Caenorhabditis elegans: one gene and its partner. The protein of the gene in region 1 purifies or fractionates together with the protein of each later gene. This does not show direct contact. Each region holds a gene or a part of one and is shown on either strand. Other genes may lie near its edges. The genes, in order: mrpl-40 and nola-3.

What was found.
Region 2: the proteins of mrpl-40 (region 1) and nola-3 fractionate together in Caenorhabditis elegans (co-fractionation; one large-scale study listed by BioGRID). This does not show direct contact.

What each region holds. Positions count from the first base shown.
Region 1 is NC_003281.10:85,693-89,983, reverse strand, and holds mrpl-40 (Large ribosomal subunit protein mL40), read right to left. Parts: upstream 2,426-4,291; 5' UTR 2,421-2,425; coding exon 2,298-2,420; intron 2,220-2,297; coding exon 2,089-2,219; intron 2,046-2,088; coding exon 1,979-2,045; intron 1,937-1,978; coding exon 1,772-1,936; intron 916-1,771; coding exon 832-915; 3' UTR 741-831; downstream 1-740. Other genes in the region: Integrin-linked protein kinase homolog pat-4, read left to right, coding at 195-341; F54C4.4 (NAM-associated domain-containing protein), read left to right, coding at 2,725-2,797, 2,866-3,035, 3,088-3,204; attf-3 (C2H2-type domain-containing protein), read left to right, coding at 3,607-3,777, 3,837-3,957, 4,007-4,215.
Region 2 is NC_003279.8:10,177,020-10,180,000, reverse strand, and holds nola-3 (Putative H/ACA ribonucleoprotein complex subunit 3), read right to left. Parts: upstream 960-2,981; coding exon 765-959; downstream 1-764. Other genes in the region: C25A1.20 (Proteasome assembly chaperone 3), read right to left, coding at 1-156; C25A1.16 (uncharacterized protein), read right to left, coding at 357-435, 483-634, 683-763; fath-1 (Fatty acid 2-hydroxylase), read right to left, coding at 1,427-1,491, 1,732-1,889, 1,938-2,324, 2,372-2,475, 2,524-2,658, 2,711-2,812. UniProt on the Caenorhabditis elegans protein: Required for ribosome biogenesis. Part of a complex which catalyzes pseudouridylation of rRNA. This involves the isomerization of uridine such that the ribose is subsequently attached to C5, instead of the normal N1.

The DNA of each region.
Region 1 (4,291 bases):
TTTTATCAAAAAATTTGAATTTCCCGTCACTTTCTACCTCAATAAACTCAAAAAACTCATTTTCCACCGCTTTTCTGCAAGTCGTCGTCAGATTCAGTGTTTGCGTACTTTTAGGGTTACAGTACCCCTTACACCTCCAAAATCAGCGTTTCCAGACCCAAATTTCACGCTGAATCCAAATTTATTAATTTCAGATCGCTCTGGAAGGTCTCCGAGTGCACATTCCCCCTGGAATCGCCCGTAATATGAACCGTTTGATGAACATTTGCATGAACGAGGACCCGGGACGTCGGCCAAACTTTGATCAAATCATTCCGATTTTAGAGAGAATGATATTATGATTTATCGATTTTGCTTTTCTAATGTTTTCAACAATTTTTTTAAAATTCAATTTATCAAAGCTTTACATCAAAAGTGCCTGCTCCTTGTCCAGCCCCATCGCATTTTCCGTCTATATATTAATTTTAAATGTTAAACTGTCAAAAAAAATTGCTCAATTTATGAAAAAATCAATAAAATCTTATGAAATGTAAGGATTACTGTACGCAAACACTCTTCGACAAAAAAGTTCGCTGCAGTAAGTTTCATGTATCCAAATAATCAGTTGCCAAAAATTTGCACGTGTAGCCTAGTGGCTAGTGACCTCGCCCGCCAATCACAGGGCCTGGGTTCGATCCCCGCAGTGGCAAATTTATTTTTTCCAGCTCGGTTTCACTGAAATTTTTAGTTTTTTCCATAAAAATCGATAATTCCTTTATTAATGCGTCATCCTATGTCACTGTCTACAACAAAAATACCCATAAAACACATAAAAATCAACAATTTTCGGCTCTAAGATGCCCAATTTCTCGTAGTATCAATGTAGTCGCCGTCCGGAGCCTCGTAGTTTCGAATGGGCGGAGTCAGTGAGGGTCCCTGTAAGAAATTTTAAAGGATTTTTCGGAATTTTTTAATTTTTAGAAAAAAAAATTTGGAAAATTCCAGGTTTTTTAAAAAAATTTTTTAACCAATTTTCGGAATTTTTCGCAAAATGTCAGTGAGTTTTCAGATTTTTCTAATAAATTTCGGTATTTTTGACATTTTCTCAAGATTTTACATGTTTTTTGGGAATTTTTAACATTTTCTGAAATTTTAAGCATTTTTTTTCGAATTTCTAGCAATTTTTCAGATTTTTAGCGAAATTTTTGGTATTTTTACGACAATTTTCAGGGATTTTTCAAAATTTTCCCGATTTTTAGGTAATTTTTTTGGATTTTCGGATTATTTGGGGGAATTTTTACATTTTTTGCAATTTTTCGAGAAAAAATTTGAAAATTTTTGGGGGATTTTACAGATTTTTAAAGGTTTTGTCGCAAAACTTCTGTGCTTTTTCAGCAAAAACCGGTATTTTTGTGTATTTTCCGAAATTTTTGGATTTTCTCGAAATTTCCGGGGATATTTCAATTTTTTAGTGAATTTTTTCAAAATTTCCGCAAAAATTTTAGAGATTTTTTAGAAAGTTTTTTTTTTTGAATGATTATTTGGGAATTTTGAAACTTTTAGAAAAAAAAAGTCGAAAATTCCAGGTTTTTCCAGATTTTTGGCAAAATTTTCAAGATTTTACTAATAAATTTCGGTATTTTTGACATTTTCTCAGGAATATTTAAACATTTTCTAAAATTTTGGGCATTTTTCCGAATTTCTAGCAATTTTTAAGATTTTAATGAATTTTCGTGAGTTTTTCGGGTTTTTCATCAATTTTTTGACCATTTTTCTTCAATTTCTCCGCTACCTGAACAATAAGCGGTAAATCCTTGGCTGCTGGCTGTACAGCCGCCTCGTAGAGCTCCAATTTGAGCATTTTCAGCTCATTTAGAGCTTTTCTCTGCGATTCGATGGCTCCACGAATCCACGCGTCATCCTCCTGCTGCAAAGCCAACCGGGAGCGTGTATAATCCTGAAAATCCACGGATTTGAAGCGAAATTCTCAGATTTTTACCTTCAGAGCGATGGCTCGTTCGTCAATTTGCTCCAAGGTGAGCTCGGTGCGTGGGCGGCGGCGTTCTCTGTAAGAATTCCGAGTTTTTAGGCAGAAAATCGCTGAAAAACCCGATATTTTTCGCGGATTTCACGTCCAAAGTGAGCTCATCCACTGGTTTCGGCTTTTTCGAGTGCTTTTGCATCTGACGAATATCCTTTTCCAGCCGTTTTCTGCGTCGGGTCTCTCGCTGCTTTGCTACCTGGAAAATTTTTGAATTTTTTCTCAATTTTTATTAAATTTCCCGTTTTATTCAATGAGTAACTGTAATTTTCTCTACCTCCGGATCAATTTTCTTCTGTCTTTTCATAAAAACCGAGGAGCCGGCGGGAATTGTTTGATGAATTTGGCGGGTTTGAAGTAGGGAGAGCCGGGAGAGGCTCGCAAGCAGGCTGGAGCTCATTTTACCTGGAAAAATTGGAATTTGAAGTGATTTTACATCAAAATCATCAAAATTCTGAAGAAAATAGTCGAAAAAACCAAGGAAACCTCCTAAAAATCAACAAAAACAATAAAAATTTAATAAAATAAATTCCCAAACGACACTCCGCTATCCCACCCCCACGCGTTGTTCACCGTAAATCTACACAAGCTCCGTCTCTCACTTCCCCACACTCTCTCGTCGTCCCTAATCGATTTTCGGACAATTTTCCGCGTTTTTATTGACAATTTTTGAGTTTTAATAAGGATTTGGCAGCTAAAACACTATGGAAACCATTTTCGAAGACGAGGAGACCATGATGGCTGCTGAGCAGAGTTCTTCAGGGATTTCTGCCAATTGTGAGTTTTTTATCAAATTTTTATTAAAATTCAGGTTTTTTTTCAAATAAAATCGAATTTTTTTTCAGCAAATAGCAACTGTAGTGCATCGAAAACCGAAAAAGCGTCGAAAAAACCGAAAAACGCCATTCCAAAAGTCAAAAACTCTGGAATTCACAAGAAACCCGCCAAATCGGACTTTGACGAGTTTCTGAGCAGCATGAAGAGCCGATTATCTCAAGCTACCAGTATGAAAAGCGTACGTTTTTTAGAAAAATAAAATTTCCAACCTAAAAGCCGATTTTTTACAGAATAAAGAGCAACTCAAGATGTTAGAGGAGACGCAGAAGCTTATTTTCGATAGAATCACAAAGTCAGCCGATGCGCGGGATATGGAACATTTGGAGAAGCAAATGAATAAACTTTAAATGTGCTTTCTTTATTTTATTTTTTTTTTAATTTTGTGGCAAAAATCCATGTAAATTTGTGAAATTATGTATCAATCGCTGTCGAAATAAATTATGTATTTTTTTTTTATCATGTATTATTCAAATTTTAGAAGAAAATTGAGCGAAAAACTGCAAAAAAACCGCAATAAATAGCCGAAATAAATTGTAAAATCAAAGGCGCATGACATTTCCCGTCTGTTGGGTCTCGCAGCGCGCGTCTGACGACGCTCCGAATGCCGCCGAAAACATTGTTTATCCTTTTCTTTTTCTCTCCCGCTCTCTCGTTTTTGCATGCTCTCTCGTCTTCGCTTTCGAATTTAAATGGAAAAATGCAAAGAAATTAACGAAATAAATTGAAAAATGTTATTTTTCAGCTAAAAAATGATGAAAAACGATGAGCAGGACGATGTGGACGTGGTGAATGTGCCGACAAATATCGATTTTCAGTGCAATTTATGCGAATACGTCGGGAAATCCGATCGAAGTCTCAGTGCACACAAAAGACACAGACATCCACGGCCAGAAGGTCAGGAAGATGATAAAAAACCAAGGGTAAGGCGGATATTTCAAGATTCTGATTGAAAAACGAAAAAAAATTTAATTTTTTCCAGGGCCGACCGAAAAAATACGAAGATTCTCCGGTTCCACTGCAACGAGTCACCACAAAACAGCTTCTCGGCGGTCGAAAACGTCCGAAAACGATAGTGGAATGTGTGGATGATTCGGCAATAAGTAATAAATCTTTTAAAAAATCTGTGAAAAAACGATTTTTTGCTTCCAGGAACCGATAAAGAAGCTTCTCGCCTTCACGGACTCGGAATTATTGACGAAGAGACTTCCCTTGGGGATTATGTTCGCCGTGGAGCCAATTATCAGCTGATGGGCGGCTCGGACATGAATTTAGACGGAAATTCCATGATTGTCGGCCAAGAAGTGGTTATTGATCATGAGGAAGACGAGGAAAATGACGATAGTCCTATGTTGGATTCGGTAAATCGAGGAAAATTTGTAAATTTCGAGAAAAATTTTCGTGAAAATTGAGCCAAAACTGATGAAAATGGACGAG
Region 2 (2,981 bases), on another chromosome or scaffold:
CTGGCTAGATAGAATCTCTGGTGGCTGAATAACTTCGATTACTTGTCCGATTCTTCCTGTTGAATTGAAGTGCACAAGATCTTTGTCGGGATGCGAGGTTATCGAAAAGTGAATTGGTTCTCCGTTGAACTCGAAAGAAAAATCTTTGAAACTCATCAACCCTGTAAACCTGACAGAATCAAATTCGAAGAAATCTAATTTAAACCTGAAGTATTTGTAATGAGGATTCAACTTGCAATACAATTCCTCACTTTTTCAACATTTCATACTTTATTTGAGAGACAACAACAATGAGAAGAAAACAACAAGAATAGTACAAAAAGAATAAGAGAAAACGGTGGAAAAAAGACTAAAAGCTAGTCGTCAAGATCGTATTTCGAAACAATTGGGGGTTTGATGCGTAACTTGGGATCTCGTTGTCGTTCTAGGGCCTCTCTGAAACCATGAAAATATTATCAATGATTTTTTCAATTTACACAAACCTTCGATCTTTGCCTTCTTGTGGAGTTAAAAAGCGACCTTGCATAGTTTGCTCATCGACAGTCCAAAGGAACATATCGTTGAGAGTATAACCAAAAGCTTTCCATCCAACGAAGAAAAGAACAAAAGAGACGATGATACGACGACGAGACACCTGAAATTATAAAATATCGTTTGGAAAAATGCGAGATTTGTAAATTACCTGTTGATAATTGATAGGTTTATTGGGGGTGAAAGAGCGGATTTTTTGCCGCAACATGCGGCGCCACTCCCAAACCAGCATTTTAGCAAACGGTCTTTGCCTTCTGGGTTGGCAAGAGTCCGAAGCGCTTCTTGATGATGATGCGATATTTGGAGTTCTTGTCTTCCGGCGAAAAGCGAGCTGGATGAGCGGTAAGAGTTTGCTCTCCAGATGGAGCAGTTCTCTTCAAAGTGTACACTCTTTGTTGGTTCTCGTCCAAGAAGTATCTCAAGAACATTGTCCGTTGAAAGTAGACTGAGTTCTGAAACTATCAATGATTTCTAAAACTTCTGAAACTATAGAGAAATATGAAATAAATACGGCGCATTGCAACGAAAAAAAGAATTAGCGAGAAAGAATGAAGGGGTGATTTCATTAGATATTTTTAAAAATTATTCCAAATTTCACGCATAACAGAAAGAAAACAAAACAAGAAGGAATATCACAAAATGTTTGATGGAAACCGGTAAGAAGTGAGGATAATAGGCACGTGCTGAGTAGCTGATCTATATAGATAAAATGTGAAAACAAGTTGAACTAATCTGGCGTACGAGAAAAGAAAAGGTAAATCGATAAATATATATGTACAACGGGTATAGTGGATCGTGAGAAAAGTGAATCGGGACAAGAGACTTAGAGATAAAAAACGTGAGGCAGAGTTCACTCAATAAACAACAAATTTTCCGAAAAAACATCTATGTATTATTATAATGGGCCCATTCCGAGTGTGTGGAAAACATAATCCCAAAGAGAAGTCGAAATTCCGAAGCCTGAAAAATGAAAATAGGCCTGAAATAGGGAAAATGATAGAAAAATTTCGATTGCGAAAATGAAAGTGCAAACGCGCTCCATCGCAAATCTGTGTAATTTTCCGTCAGAGAACATTATATTTCACGACAATTTGCAGATTATAGAAAATCTCAATTAAAAAACAGTTTTTAATGTTCTTGACTTAAAAATAACAAATTAAAAATTGATTTTTAAACAAAATCCCGTTAAATGTAACTTACCGACGTCAAAGTTTTTGAAGTGGTGATTATGATGATATACTTTTCTAAAATGTAAATTGCTGCGTGGACGAGGACTTCCGTGATGTAAATAATAGTGTACCATATCGTAGGTTACATATCCAAATAACTTTCCAGCGCCAAACGCGCAAAACACTGGCCTAAAACGATTAACTGAATATGGGAACCAGGAAAGGTTTAATACTGACCATTGGAAGGTATTGGAGTAGATTAAATAGAAAATTCCAACAATCAAAGTAGCTGGAACCGGAGGGAACACAAGGCGGTCTCCGTCCATCGGTGTTTTATGGTGAAGTCCATGAGCCAAGAAATGAAGAAGAATCTGATTCGGCGAATCTGGAGACGGCTTCCAATGGAAAACCCATCGATGAAGACTGTATTCAGTGAGAGTCCATGTCAAAACTCCAATGACGAACCAGGCAGACCACAGGAGAATCGAGTTATAAACATCGGTGGATGTTGAAAATGAGAGCACTGAGAGGATAGAAAAAGTAATGACGATCGGCATCCAAACAGCAGGGACCACCCACCAAGCTGTTCTTGTCATGCTTTCCAACACATCCGAATCGAAAAGTCTGAAAAAAAGTGAAAATTTGCATTGAAAAGTCGAGATCATCAATACCTTAAAGTTCCATCATATGGTTGATGAATCCAATGCCAATATTCAGAGCCAAGAGATCCAACTTTGAAAAGCATTCCGGATTTAGACTCAATCAATGGATCACCCTAGAATTTTAGAAATATTAATAATTAGATTTGATGGAAGGAACGAACTTTTTGAATTGCATTCACATTATATCTCTCGAGCATATTATAAGCGGCTTCCGAGTGCTCATGACGTACACCCATTATCCTTTTTTCTCCTCTGATAAATTCTCCAATTTCTTCTCCAGCCAAACGATTCAGAACCTATAAAAAGTTTGAGATTAGTAAAATATCCTAAAACTTGAAAAAAAGTTACCTTGGCACCTCCCGGATGTTTAGGCGCAAAATCAGCAATGTCATAATATTGCCCGTCGAGTTGTACTAGCAACGGCTTCTTCTCATCTGCTCCTATCCCCATATTTTCCACTGAAATATAGAAAATTATAAATTACGAAACGTTATAAATATAGAAAATATGAAACGGGGAAAGCAATATGATCATGATCTCATAGTAGAAAAATAAGTAGCAAAAGGAAATGAGCACATTCACCAGAAAACGTCATTTTCCGGTCAAGAAAAGCAGCCAT